2 linked regions of the Rattus norvegicus genome follow. The protein of the gene in region 1 interacts with the protein of each later gene in a pairwise test. Links are inferred from orthologs where the notes say so. Each region holds a gene or a part of one and is shown in the gene's direction. Other genes may lie near its edges.

Region 1 (6,984 bases):
TCACGTTCTTGTTCTTACAATCCTACTCAGTAAAGCACAAGGATAAATCTATTAGAACATTGCAGCACCAGCAGTCAAAATGTAGATTCCAGTGCCAGACATACCCTTCTTAAAGTACCTCAGGTAACCTGCCTCTGTCTCCTGAACATAGCAATAAAATGAAGCACCCCAGCTCTGATCTTGAGAAGAGCAGAGACAAAAAAAAAACAAACAAACAAAAAAAAAAACAAAAAAAAAAACCAAAAAACAAAAAACAAACCACCTTTTAGGAGCATCTGTCAAGAGATATGCACTATGCTAGGCCCTTTACATACCTTCTCTCATCTAAATCAGAGTGGCCCAGCAGAGCATTCTGTGATGGTGAAAATGATCTATATCTAAATTTAGACAACAGTTTAGTAACATTATATAGGCAGAACAACCAACTGCACCGATTTTTTTATCCTAATGAATTTTAACTTAAATAGCCATATATGTTAGCTGGATACTGTATTATACAGGGTGGCTGATAAGAACATGAAATGTTTGTTTCCATGTAATAGGTGGTGACACTAAAGTTTAGAAAATTTAGGAGAACTTGTTTTAAGAAATAATTTAAATTTTAACTTTGAAATCTGAAACACTTCTGTTTTCAAGCACATAGTTATTCTACACAGCACCACAATGTGGTGTGTCATAGTACTTGGTCAGCCTCACTCAAGGTTGAATTCCTTGAATTGGTACTAACAGTGCTCAATGAGCCAAAATCCTGCCACTGGAATGGCTTAGAGGAGGGAGCCTGAAGAGTACATGTCTGGTGTCAGGTTGAAAACTGGTCAAAATAGAACAGAGAAACTTTTCCACATTTCCTCTTGGATCAAAAGCATCAATATCTCACAAATAAAAAAATAAGAAAAATCACTTAAATAGGATGTAAACCAGAGAACTTGAAAGCTCAATACTAGAATCCCAAATGCCATGAATGATCTAGTAATTCAGTAAAAGTATTCATTTATTACTTGTAAATTACATATGAATGAAAATAACTGGTAAGTTATTCTAGTAAGAACTCGCTGTCACCACTATAAAATGATGCAGTCACCTAAGTTATAAGCTATAACTTAGTGTATATAAGCTATATATAAGCTATAAGTTATTAGTGGGACTAGAGTGTATAAAGCAATAGAGTAACTCATAAATGAGTTTTCAAAACTGTGTTTATCATACATAAAACATATGACATGCACCAAAAAATGGTAACTACAGAATAGAAAGAGCACTGAGAGATAAGAAATAAAGAGACTACTCCTGAGCTTTTGTGTGATGCCCTATTACAGAATGGAGAAGAGACAACATATGAAAAGCATCAAGCTATTTTTCCATATTTGATTTGCTTTCCTAATGGTGTTTTTAATGGTTCAGTCAACAGTAGTCAAAGTGGGAAACAATATATAACGTATAGTTTCAGACTCTGAAAGAGGAATACTAATGGTGACACTTAATGTGCAATTTCTTAATCAGCAAAACAAGACAGATACAATGCAGGGTATATCGCAAAATATTTTGCTACACGTTCTATGGCACCCTCTAGTGGTGTCCAAAAACGAGTGTTGAATTGTAGCCCTCCAAAGCAGTGGTTCTCCAATTTTAGAGTGCATTGGATTTACTAGAACAATTTGTAGTGGATGGCCAAGCTCCATCCAGAAAACCTTTGATTTGTGAGACATAAAGCAGGGCCTATGAATCTAATATTCTGATAACTTACCGAGTTTTACTGATGCTTCTGATTTTTGGAGAACCGCTCTAAAAAACCTTTCCCCTTTGCAGCTGAAGACGTGGCTCAGCCATTAAGACCACTTGCTGCTCTACCAGAAGACCCGAGTTAGGTTCCCAGCATCCATGTCAGGTGTCTCAGAACAGCCAGTAATCCCAGCTCCGGAGGATCCAGTGCCTCTGACTTCTGAACACATACACATGTGTAGAAATACCTAATTAAAAACAGTAAAATTAAAATCTTTTAAAAAACCTTCACCCTCGGGTGGATAAATACATATAATTAGTGCCTGAAACCTATTTTTGGCTGATTATAATGTAGTACAATTCTGTTAAGAAAAAGAAATACCTATGGGAAGGAATTTAATACATCTGAAATATAGAAAATATTAAAAAAAAAATCGATGGTCTGACTGGGGAGATGTCCGGGGAGGGGTAAATGTCTGCTGCTCAAACAGGAGGGCCTAAGTTCAGTTCCCCAGCATATATATAAAAGCTGAACACAGGGCACTGATCTATAACCCCAGTGTTTTAAGGGGGGCTGTTGGTAGAGACAGGCAGATCCTGGGAGTTCAGTGACAAGCCAGAATAGCACATAGAGTAACTCCGAGTTTACTCAGACCCTTCTGTAAAAAAATAAGGCGAACAGCAATAGAGGAAAAGACGTAAAGAAAGGTGAACTTTAGCCCCAAAATGCACAGGCCACACAGGTACATAAATTAAAAAAAACCACACACACCTCAGGGCTATGTTATTATGCGCTCTGAAACCTAAGTGAAATGTTTTACTATTTCCTATCTGACTCTAAAAACACAACCGAGTTTTTCGGAATGTAATGAGAATAGTAAAAAGAAATGCCCTTTGTCTTACAAAAACAGCTTAGTCAGGAGGAGGTCCAGGACACCCAAGGCTGTACCTGATAACCAGCCCCCAATGACATCAGTCACTAAGATAACCAGACACAGGACAAGAATCCCATGACGCCCGCTACACAGCGAGTATATAAGCAGGAAGATCGAGCGCATCGGTCTTTTGCTGCACACCTGGAGACACACCTTGAGCTGCCCTGCAGCCAGAGAGTCTCCTCGGGCTCCTGCATCGGAGACTAGGCCTGATCTTCAGGTAAGGGCGTCACAAACGTGAGCTCCCTTGGGAAAACTGTAGTTAAGAACCAAGAGTGTTGTGTGATGACTCTCGCCATGATAAAATAGAATTTTTGGTATACTAAGCTTCTACCTACTTGCTTAGGAGGGCACAGAACCATCACATAAAATTGGGGTGTAAACACCCATACCTGATAAGTTTGAAGAGGAAGATAATCCGCAATGCTGAGGTCTAACTTTACCTCCGAGTTACCTTTACAGACTGACTAGAGGAATTGTTAAGTACTGAAAAGCGGGCAAAAAGCAAAAAGAATATTCTTTCATGGATTTATTTATGCAGAGACAGGGTCTCAATATATAATCTATGCGGCCTTTAATCTAGGGCCCTCCTTCTGCTCAAGTGCTCATACAGCTCACAAAGGGTTTTAGCATCAGAATTTAGGCCCATGTATCAATCCTGAGTAAAATCAAAAGGCAAGGGAGAAAGAAATGCAAGAAGAACAGATGACTTTTTCTCTTTAAGGAAATTAACCAAAATATTCAGATATGTAATTCCTTGCCTAGTATTATTACTTCACAGAACTTGATTTTATTCTTAAGAATTTTATATATATATATATATATATATATATATATATATATATATGAGTCATCCAGAGATTACGGATCCTGTAAGAAGTGGGTGGAGCAAAAAATTAAATCTCACAATCCCTGGGAACCCAGCAGTAAATCCTTTGCTGGGATTTGGTGACATCTAGTGGCAGATTCAAGAGGTATAATGCTCATCCAATGAACTTTCTGGAAAACTGACCGAATGTATATTGGATCGCTACGCTTGGAGATTAGGACAAAAGGTAGGTGAGGCTTAGCATCCACGGGAAATTGGCATAGTCTGTATCACTGGGGAATTTTTTTTTTTTTTGGTTCTTTTTTTTTTTTTTCCGGAGCTGGGGACCGAACCCAGGGCCTTGCGCTTCCTAGGCAAGCGCTCTACCACTGAGCTAAATCCCCAACCCCTGGGGAATTTAATTGTCTTTGTTTTCGTTAGAATTATTTCTACCAATTTAGCAATAAACTTGGTGGGGGGCAAAAGGGAGGTTCTCAGTAATCTTGGTGAGGGGCAAAGGTGAGGCCTTGGAGACAGAGAGGGCGGGGTGTACACTTGGAAACTTAAAAGAAACGCCCTTTTACGTTACTAATATAGTTTTGAATGCTCACCATGGAAGAAGTTTATTTTGTTGGACTAAATTGTGGGAATAATAAGCATCTTTAGGGTCTAAAATTAAATCAGACTGGGTGGGGTGGCCGATGCTTTCAATGCCAGCGCACGGGAGGCCGTGAAGAGACAGGTGGGTCTCTTGTGTTCCAGGCCTGCCAAGCCTACGTAGCTAGAACAGGCCTCATAAATAAAGAAAATAAAATAAAATAAAATAAAAAAGAAAGAGCGAGCAAAGAAAGATAAAAAGGGGGGATTAAATTAAATCAGCAGGCTTTTCTAACAAAAGGCCTTTACCTCTGTACTAGTACTTTCTTGGGTCTTATTTATTAATGCAGTTTGCAAACATCAAAAGGCAGAAATGCACCAAAATGAGGGACCTCACCTACACACACTCTCAGGGCCCCTCCCGCCACCGCGAGAGCTTGCACGCCTGCGCACACCCATCATCCCCGGCGCCACGAGGGCGGCTGTTCGCCCACACCCACACTCCACAGCCACGCGAGCGTGCCCGCGCGCATACACCCCAGTTCTCAAGGCATCCGGGCATCCGCCCGATGGCACTCACCACCCTCACACGCATACACCTCAAAACCTTCATTTTTCCTTTTGGTTTGGTTGGGTTTTTTTTTTTTCTCCCGTTCTGAGGGTTGCGCAACAGGCTCGGGGGCGTGGCGCTGGTTTGACCTCGCTCTTCCCACTCCCGGGAACCTTAGCTCATTTCCGCCTATCCTATTTCCGCAGGCCACGTCGGCACTTCCTTTCCCTGTGGTGCGGGGGCGGGGGAGGGGGAACGGACCCACAAACCCATAATGCCTCCCTGCAGGAGAGAAGGAGAGCGCGAGGGAAAGAAGGTGGGGGAAAAAAAAAAAACCCACGGCCAGGGGAACTCTGGGTCGTGAAAACGGGCCACGTGAACACGCTGCCCTATAGACTTCTGACCCAACGGCTGTAGCGCACTTGGAGGGCGGGCTAAGAACCTAAAAGGGCGACCGTCATTGGTCGGAGCCCGCACTGAAGAAGGACGCTCATTGGTTTGATTTGGGCCCTAACCATGAAGAAGCAGGTTGCTAGCACCCGCCTTTACTGCGGCGGAGTGTCACTGCTGACGTGGGGGCGGTGGTCCAATCATTTGGGTATGGAACATTCTAAAACTTAGACAAGATGGCTAGGATTGGCTGAAGGGCTAAGCCCGCCTCCAGGGTGACGTGTCTGCCTATGGATATCAGTTGCCAGAGAAACCTGGCTTTACTATGGCGGTTGGAGGAGCAGCGGTGGTCACACGTCGGCTGCTGGAAAGAACTGGATTCTCGTTTCAGGTTTCGGGGTGGGGGTGGGGAGGAAGGGTCGATGATTTCCTCTTTCCTTCTTGACTTGTAGATAGGATTAACTAGTGCCTTCACATTCAAGCAAAACTGGATGCGTATTCCTGCTCGCCAACGCCCAACTTGGGCAAGGCTCCTTTCTGTGTCTCGGTTTCCATGTTTGTAAAATGGTGATAATAGTAGCTATCTCGGTCGCGGATTCAGATGTGCCTAGTAAAATAGTGCGTGTAAGGCATTCGACGTGAAGCCTGTCTCCGAAAGACAGGAACAATTGTTACTAAAGATAGATATTTCTGAGGAAGAAAAATTTTAAATGACGCAAATTTGCTTGATATCATATCTTTTTCTGTACATCATCCTCTTTCTTCGAAGAAATTATGACGATAGGCATTTATTAAGCCTTACCAATAAAATAATTTGATAGCCCAGAATTACCTCAGAATGGCTGGGGGTCGGAATTTTCCCACATTAAGTCAAAAAGAGAAAGGTAGGGGGACGCGAACGAAAACGAGCTACTTATGAAGCACATGCGAGGAGTAGGCCTTGTTTGAATCCTAATTCGAGCAAACCAATTGTAAAATTTTCTTTAAGACGCATCGGGAATTTTTAAATGCAGGATTAATATTCTTCAATGAAATCAGTGCCAGATTATTTTTTAGAAGCTTATGGTGACGATGTGGTTGTGTTTTTAGATTGCTCTATTTTGTGGAAATAAATATAAATGCTTAGGGATTAAATAATGTCAAAATGGCTTCAAAATACGTGGATGACTAGGATTTGCTTCAGAATAATTTCAGCGGTAGAGAGAGAGATGGGAGGGGTATAATTGGGACCCTAGATTAATAATTGTTTAAACTGAGGGGTGGGCAGATGGGGTTTCTTGTATTTGTCTTTTTCCCATGGTATATATTTGAAATTTTTCTGAATTCTGAAGTCATTTTTTTCGATAGCTTAAAAAAACGTGTGGGGGGGAGCAGTGGGTGGGGTTACAGATGAAACAAGATGGCCTTCAGTTGGTAATTGTTGGAGCTGGATGATGGATTCGCATCCGCTTGTACTGCTCTTCTTTTACAATTTTTTTATTTCACATTATCCTTAATAGAAATTAGTTATTTTTTTTCTAAAATTGATAAACATGCAATAAAGTACATTTATTTGAAAATAAAACCACAAGAAAATAAAATTTGTACATTATTAGCTTTGATGCTCTTTGTGTGAGATAAAATTGTATTTACTGATGGAAAAGAAAATCACCATCTCATATTTTTTTTGTCCTTTTCCATCTCTTTGTTTGACCTTCTAGGTCATCATCAGAAAAGCTAAGTTTGCTATACAGTAAGGATCAGGAGATCTGACCCTGGTTGCAGAACCATTCCTGGTTGCAGAATACAGGGTAAGTGCCTTCCTTCTGGCCTCGTTTCACAAACCAGCTACATCACATAACATTTTTAGATGTGTAGGAATATTTTGAAGATTAATAAGCTGCCATCTGAGAAAGTATGCTATATTCTGAAAGGGGAAGAATAAACAATATAGGCATGTGTAATCCTAGTCTCTTCATTAAAAATTAGTGCTATGTGAAGGCTTC
Region 2 (6,961 bases), on another chromosome or scaffold:
GGCACCTAACCAGAGCCTTTACAAATACGCCTCCCATTGGATCCAGTTCTTGTGACCAAGAGCTAAATGTTCCTTCCGGAGTGGGAATGGGCTCCTTCTAGTTAGTAGTGACCATCTCCTTCCCGAGACATCAGGTCCTCAGACAAGCAATACTGTTTAGGAGGCCGGAGACGCACCTCAGTTGGTAGGGCTCTTCCCTAGCATGTATGAAGTCCTGGGTTCAGTCCCCAGCATATGTACTAGCAGATACCTGTTATCCAAGCACTTAGGAGGTGGAGGACTGGGGATGGGAGTTCAAGGTAATCTTTGGCTACAGAGTGAGTTTGAGGCCAACCTGGGATACATAAGACCCTGAATAAGCAACTGAGTAAATAAAAAGAAATATCAGTTGGTTGAGAATGTCTGGGGAATAGTTCATACTGGCCAAAGTAAACGATAAGGCTTGTGTATCCGTTAAATGAGGGACAGCCTTTCTAGAGCCTTTACTTTTCACTGGGGCCCAGTCTGAACTCTTCACCCTGGGATCAAGAATCCTAGCACTCGTATCCATCTTGTATAAAAGACTCATGCAGCAGAAGTCCCAGCAAATGAGGAAAGAGTTGACCAGTTGGCTACTGGATATCACTGTCCACTTTGTATCTGGGAAGTAGGAAACCTTGCTGCGAAGCCAATCCTATCCTGGCCGCCTGGAACCAACCTGAAGACCTCACAGAGAAGACAGATCTGAGTAAACGTCACCAGCGACTTCTACAACAAGTTGGTGGTGTGCCTCACAGACACCTGCCCCAGGCCAAAGAAACCCTTCTGTCAGGTTTGAAGGAATCTCTCAGCTCCCAGCAGGTGTGAATTCAGTTTGAAGCTGCAGGAGCACACACATGATCATGGGCCAGTGGTTTCTCTACAGCTCCTTGTTAGAGAGCGACAGTCGCAGGAGAGCTACAAAATGAACAAGCACAGCTTCCTCTTAATTCGTGGGTTTGGACTGTAGAGCCTACATGCTCGTGAAAATGAACAGTGTCATGCTACAGTTGGCATGAGATAGTGAGCAGAGTCTTAGCTCCTGACCTCCGTGCTCAGACACTTCCTATTACCTGGCAGAGAAACGGGCTGTGGCTTCGTGGAAAGAATGAAGCCATTCTTCTCTCCTATACCATCTAACCTGTCCATAGGGATCAAGTCTGATTGCCAGCCACACGTTCCCAAGAGATCTCTGAAATGACGGACAGATGTTTGCAAACTGCCGTGTACAGAGGTCACACAGAACAGAGAGAACTGGCTAGAATGGATGAGGCTGAGGGTTACACAAGGGAAACCCTCCACAGTCCCCTGTTGTGAGCATTATCTGGTTGCAGGCCTGAGTGAGGGGCAAGTGGAGGGCCAGGACTGGATTCAAAGCTTGCGGTAGCCAGCAGATGGCTCTTATCAATACCCCAGAGTTCAGAGCTACAGTGGCCCCATAGCACAGAGAAGAACGTGGTCTTACAAAGGTTCTTGACATCTTAGTCACACAGCTGAGAGACATCAGTCAGGAAAGGGATTCTGATGCCTGCCCGTGGCTGAGGGTCAGGTGAGTAAAAAAGCTTGGATGGGTGGCAGGGTAGGGGTCATGGTACAGCTGACTGGGGTGACTCAGACCAGTAGGGACCATGTTCTTAAGGCTGCTGTGCCTAGCACTTGACCCTACCCAATCCCATGTAGAGATACTAACACCTGCCTGAAATTCTGACAGCCTCCACTGTAGGGACAAGATGGGGGTGGTAAGGCCAACAGGGCCCAGGTTTCTGTCTTTTGATGCCAATGAAGCACTTAATTCTGAAACTGTCATTTGCACCCAGGCCAGGGCTACTAAATGTGGTTGTTGGGTTTTAAAGTCTTTAATTATGGTGTGTGTGTGTGTGTGTGTGTGTGTGTGTGTGCGCGTGCGTGCGCGCGCGCGCGCGCATGCGTGCAAAAGTGTGAGTATACCATGGTATACATATAAAGGTTAGATACAACTTAAAAAAAAACTTATTTATATGAATACACTGTAGCTATCTTCAGACACACCAGAAGAGGGCATCAGATTCCATTATAGATGGTCTAGATGGTCGTGAGCCACCATGTGGTTGCGGGGAATTGAACTCAGGACCTCTGAAAGAGCAGTTATCATTCTGCCAAGCCATCTCTCCAGCCCTAGAGTAGAACTCTTAAGAATTGCTTCTCTCCTGCCCCCTCTAGGATCCAGGGGTGGAGCTCCAGTTACCAAGTCTGTGCACAAGAATCTCTATGGACGGACCATCTCACTAGCCCCTGGGTTTTTTGTTTGTTTGTTTGTTGTTTTTTAGCTATTTTTTCTTAAACAGTTTTCGTGATGTGTAATTTACATACTGCACAATTTATCACTGGCAAAGGGAGACACACTTCTAGCTGTGCAGCCTGAGTCTTTTCCAAGTTATCTACTCAGGTGAAGCCCAGATTTTTTTTGGGCCGTGTGTGTCATGCTATGCCGAATTGGCTGACTCAGAACTCAGAGAGATCCGCTCGCCTCTCCCTCTCTGAAGGCCCAGCTGGTGCATTTTTAAAGCATGAGGTTTGTTCCTGCTCCTCTCGGGACAGAGTCGTAGGCAGTAAAAGGGCCAACCACCAGGAGTCGCTGCTGCACCGGAAGCCAGCCTTCGTTGCGCCTGCGCGGACCCGGGCACGCGGCGTTCCCGAGCCCTGCGAGTGCGCGCCCTCCACACCAAGTGCGCCTGCGCGGAGCCTGTAGTAGCCTTTCTCGCGCCGGGCGCTCGTCGCTCGCCGGCGGCCATGGGGGAGGCCGAGGTAGGCGGCACGGGCGCCCCAGGCGATAAGGGCCCAGGCGAGGCAGCCCCGAGCCCTGCTGAGGAGACGGTGGTGTGGAGCCCTGAAGTGGAAGTGTGCCTCTTCCACGCCATGCTGGGCCACAAGCCTGTCGGTGAGCGCCGCGCCGCGCACCGGCGTGGGGGTGGGGCGGGATAAACCGTCGGGCGGGCTGGCGGAGCCTGCGACCCCGCACGGGCGGGACCTCCCACTCTGGGGTGCCCTGTTAGTCCAAGAGACCATGACTTTCCTTCCCGAGAAGCCCTCTCCCAGGGGACACTCCTGACTTCCCTGCCCTTGAGACAGTCCTACCCCAGGGAACGCCTCCATTCTCCCCGCCTCTGCAGCCCCTCTGCCCAGGACCCGCCTACTATACACCCTAACCACCTGCCTTGTGGCACCCTTCGTCCCCTTTGACACTTGACTCCTGCAACACTTGCACCTGTGGTTTGCACACTCCTGCCCCTCCTACACCCATGTCCTCTGCACAGAGGTGCTATCCTAACCCTCAACCCACTGTCCTGCCTCTCAGGGGTGAATCGACACTTCCACATGATTTGTATCCGAGACAAGTTCAGCCAGAATATTGGGCGCCAGGTTCCATCCAAGGTGATCTGGGACCATTTGAGCACTATGTACGACATGCAGGCACTGGTGAGTGGACCCTGGCCCACTCATTTGGGGGCTGAAGGTGGAGTCAAGTCCCGGATGCTGCCTTCCCAGAGTCCTCTGTGGTACAGGACAGAGCCCTCTTCTCACTTGGGGTTTGGTATGCAAAGATCTCAAAAGATGAGGCTCCTTCCTCAATCCTGCCTTGAAAAGCACAAACTAGGGATTCACTAACCACTTTCTCAGGACACCTACTTTAGATTGGTGGCACAAAGTGTCAAGGAGATAGTTGGGCGCTGAGATGATAGAGAAGCCTCAGCCACCGTAAAAGGCAGTAATAGGGTGCAGTGTCGGTATTGGGGTCCTTTGAGAATCTGTATACTGTGGGAGCTAGACTGTTCCTCTTCTGAGAGCAGAGAGGGTAGCTAGGTAACTGGTTTGGAGAGCTGGCAGTGTCTGACTCGTGTGTAGGTAACTAGTAACCTTGCTAGTCAGGTTTGTCTGCAGTGTCTGGCAGGCAGTGAGACTACGTAACCAGGATGGGTGGGGCTGTAGGGGCCTGTGGTTGGTCATGGCGCCCCTGGATACATTGTCCTGGTGGGAGTGTTACAATGGTGAACAGGTCAGGTCCTTGTGAGCACATCAGGGGAGCTGCTATGACTCCAGGGCTCTCTCGGTGGCATGAACCTGGTCCTCTCCTCTGGTTTGGTTTGGCTGGTGCTAGCCTGGCCCTCCCTAGTCATCTGAGAAGCCCAGCTGAGGTGGACTCTGCAAGCTGGAGCAAGGAGCCCCACCAGCTCGCAGCCTCCAGCCTGCTCCTCCGTACAGCTTAGTGAGCGGAGACCCTGTTTTCTGTTTCTTGAAAATACAAAACGCTTTGTGCCGGCAGCACGAGTCTGAGATTCTGCCATTCCCAAATCCAGAGAGGAACTTTGTCCTTCCCGATGAGATCATTCAGGAAGTCCGAGAAGGTGAGACTCAGCCACCACCAGGGCTGGGAATAAAAAAAGCCTCACCAGGCCAAAGGTGGGGAGGTCTGGGGCCTCCAGGGAGGTGTAAGGACCCTGCTCAGACCACGCCTCCAGTGGCGCCTGGGAGGTTTGGGGAGCCGAGGGCTGGGGCGAGCGGTGCTCAAAGGCAGTCTCCTGATGGATGCCGTCTTACGATGGACGCCGAGGCCTGTGTGGGCAGCGAGAGTCGGAAGCAGTCCTGGCCAGACCGTCCCCCAGCGCTGGCCACCACCGTGGGTTTCCAGTGAACGGCAGCTGTCTCCTCCACAGGAAAAGTGGTCATTGAAGAAGAAATGAAGGAGGAGATGAAGGAGGATGTGGACCCCCACAGTGGGGCTGATGACGGTGAGTGGAAGTGCCTTCTGGAGCCGTCACCACCACGGGCCAGCCTCAGGCAGAGTGAGGTCAGGAAGCTGAGAGTCAGGAGCGAAGCATCCCTTTCAGATGAACTCAGTGTGGGAGGGCCTCTGAGAGCCATGAGGAAGGGGCCGAGGCCAAGGCTGGGGGCCTCTGAGAGCCATGAGGAAGGGGCCGAGGCCAAGGCTGGGGGCATTGGGTGGGCTTAGACAGGAGACCCCCTGAGAGACTCGGTTTCTCTTCGAGCCCAGCTGTACAGGGCACTTACCCGGGGAACATACTGGGTCCGAACGCCTGGTTTCTCTAGCTGAAGAGGAAAATGAGATGAGTTTCTGGATATTCTGTTTTCAGCCAAATGATTTTGTTTCCCAGTTTTTTCATCTTCAGGGAGCTTGGGGAAAGCATTAGAAAAATCCAGCAAAGACAAAGAGAAGAACTCCTCAGACTTGGGGTGCAAAGAAGGGGCAGACAAGCGGAAGCGCAGCCGGGTCACTGACAAGGTCCTGACTGCCAACAGCAATCCCTCCAGCCCCAGTGCTGCCAAGAGGCGCCGCACATAGACACCTCAGCCCCAGGTGGCCAAGAGATGCTCCAGCTGCCTGTCCTCAGGTCCCTGGGTGAATGTGGCCATCCAGCAGAGATGCTAGTGGGGCTTCCGCTGTGTCATCAGACCTCCAGAGCACTTGATTGGTCCAAAAGGCCAGCAAGACCGGTGTCCACTCTGCTGGATGGTGAAGCCTCTGAGCCAGCCTCTTGCTTTCTCCTGGTCAGTTCCCTTATGCCCACAGTGTGTGGAGAAGAGCAGGTGCGTGGGCCAGAGGACCAAGAGTCAGCAAGCAATAAGACGTCACCCTCACTGTCCTCAGGAGCCAGGCATCCTCCCTGGGTGCCCAGTCTTTGCATCTGCTTTTCCTGTAAGACTCCATTGTGCACTGGCATCCAGAGAAGGTGTCTTTGGAGTTCACACAGCACACACTGTGCACAGAAGGCCTCCCCCATCTGGGAAATAGAACTGGATATTTTGCCTCATTCACTTGTACTGTAATAGTGTATATAATTTAGTTGGTATTTCACTATTTAATTTTTAAGAAGCCTATTTTACTAGTGTTTTGTATGAAGAAAAATACTGCAGAAGTTAAACCTGTGATGTGTTTTTTTGAGCTGTTTTGTTTTAAGGTAACTACTGAGATACGTCTGGCTGTTTTTATATGCCAGATACAGAGAATTTTTAGCGGTTATTTTTGTAATTTTAGTAACTTGGAAAAGACCAAATAAGGGGGTGGAACAAAGGAACAGCCATCAGGCTGAAAAGCCAGTGGCCTGATGGCTGAAGCACATTTTCATTTGCAGGATATTAAAGCATTAAAAAACTATCTTGGGAGTTGTGTGATTTGCTACTAAAACAAGTTGGTTTTTAAATTCTTCCTACAGAGGAAAGGGTCCCCCACTCTAGAACTCATAACCATAGGGTACACTTAAGATGACTTCTTGGCATCGCTGGATGCAGTAAGGTTATGAGCCTTCATCAGAGACTCTTAGGACACCCACCCCCAACTCCTGCCTACCTGGCCGCTACCTATTATCCTCCATAGCCAAGTCCAGCTGTTGGGTGGATGAGCACAGTGAAATGTCAGACCATCTTGACTACTGCCTGTGACTGAAACCGCCCCCCTGCCATCTGCAGGGTCCCAGGCAATGAGAACTGGCCTGCTGTGGCACTCCAAGCTGGCCTACATCAGCCACTTCTAGTCAGGGCAGTTGGGTCACCATAAACGTACCACTAGACCCAGCTCCCTGGCGTAGGGAGCATCCTGAGTTGACACAGGTGAGCTAGCTAGATGAAGTGGCAGCCCTGTACACTGCATTCAGACCTGGACCAGTGCTTGTGTGTTCAGTGCAAGAGACAGGGAAAGAGGTGTTACAGCATGTTTGGGGAAATGGCTTGGGGCCACTCCATCCTGTCCCTCCCCAGTGTCCACTACTAGAGGCCTGTTCTGTGGAAGAAGCCTAGCTGTTGAATCCACCACTAGCAGGAGAAACAGAGGGCAGATGGTGACGATCAGGACAGAGGTCCTCTCTGGTCAGGCTCACTCTTCTAAACCCATCTGAAAGAACAATCTAGGGCCATGAGAGCATGCCAGTAGGCCTGGTCAAGGCATTTGCCT

What was found. The genes of interacting proteins can lie anywhere in the genome.
Region 2: the proteins of Morf4l2 (region 1) and Mrgbp interact in binary tests that used the Homo sapiens proteins (3 or more experiments, as listed by UniProt). The two-hybrid records come from large-scale screens. The link is inferred for Rattus norvegicus from reciprocal best matches to the Homo sapiens genes MORF4L2 and MRGBP.

The regions. Positions count from the first base shown.
Region 1 is NC_086039.1:104,881,767-104,888,750, reverse strand, and holds the start of Morf4l2 (mortality factor 4-like protein 2), read left to right. Parts: upstream 1-2,804; 5' UTR 2,805-2,874; intron 2,875-3,549; exon of another isoform or gene 3,550-3,709; intron 3,710-4,639; exon of another isoform or gene 4,640-5,092; intron 5,093-5,202; exon of another isoform or gene 5,203-5,390; intron 5,391-6,699; 5' UTR 6,700-6,789; intron 6,790-6,984. UniProt on the Homo sapiens protein: Component of the NuA4 histone acetyltransferase complex which is involved in transcriptional activation of select genes principally by acetylation of nucleosomal histone H4 and H2A.
Region 2 is NC_086021.1:188,071,994-188,078,954, forward strand, and holds Mrgbp (MRG/MORF4L-binding protein), read left to right. Parts: upstream 1-2,761; 5' UTR 2,762-2,787; coding exon 2,788-2,935; intron 2,936-3,352; coding exon 3,353-3,474; intron 3,475-4,318; coding exon 4,319-4,400; coding exon of another isoform or gene 4,401-4,709; coding exon 4,710-4,784; coding exon of another isoform or gene 4,785-5,005; exon of another isoform or gene 5,006-5,168; coding exon 5,169-5,356; 3' UTR 5,357-6,169; downstream 6,170-6,961.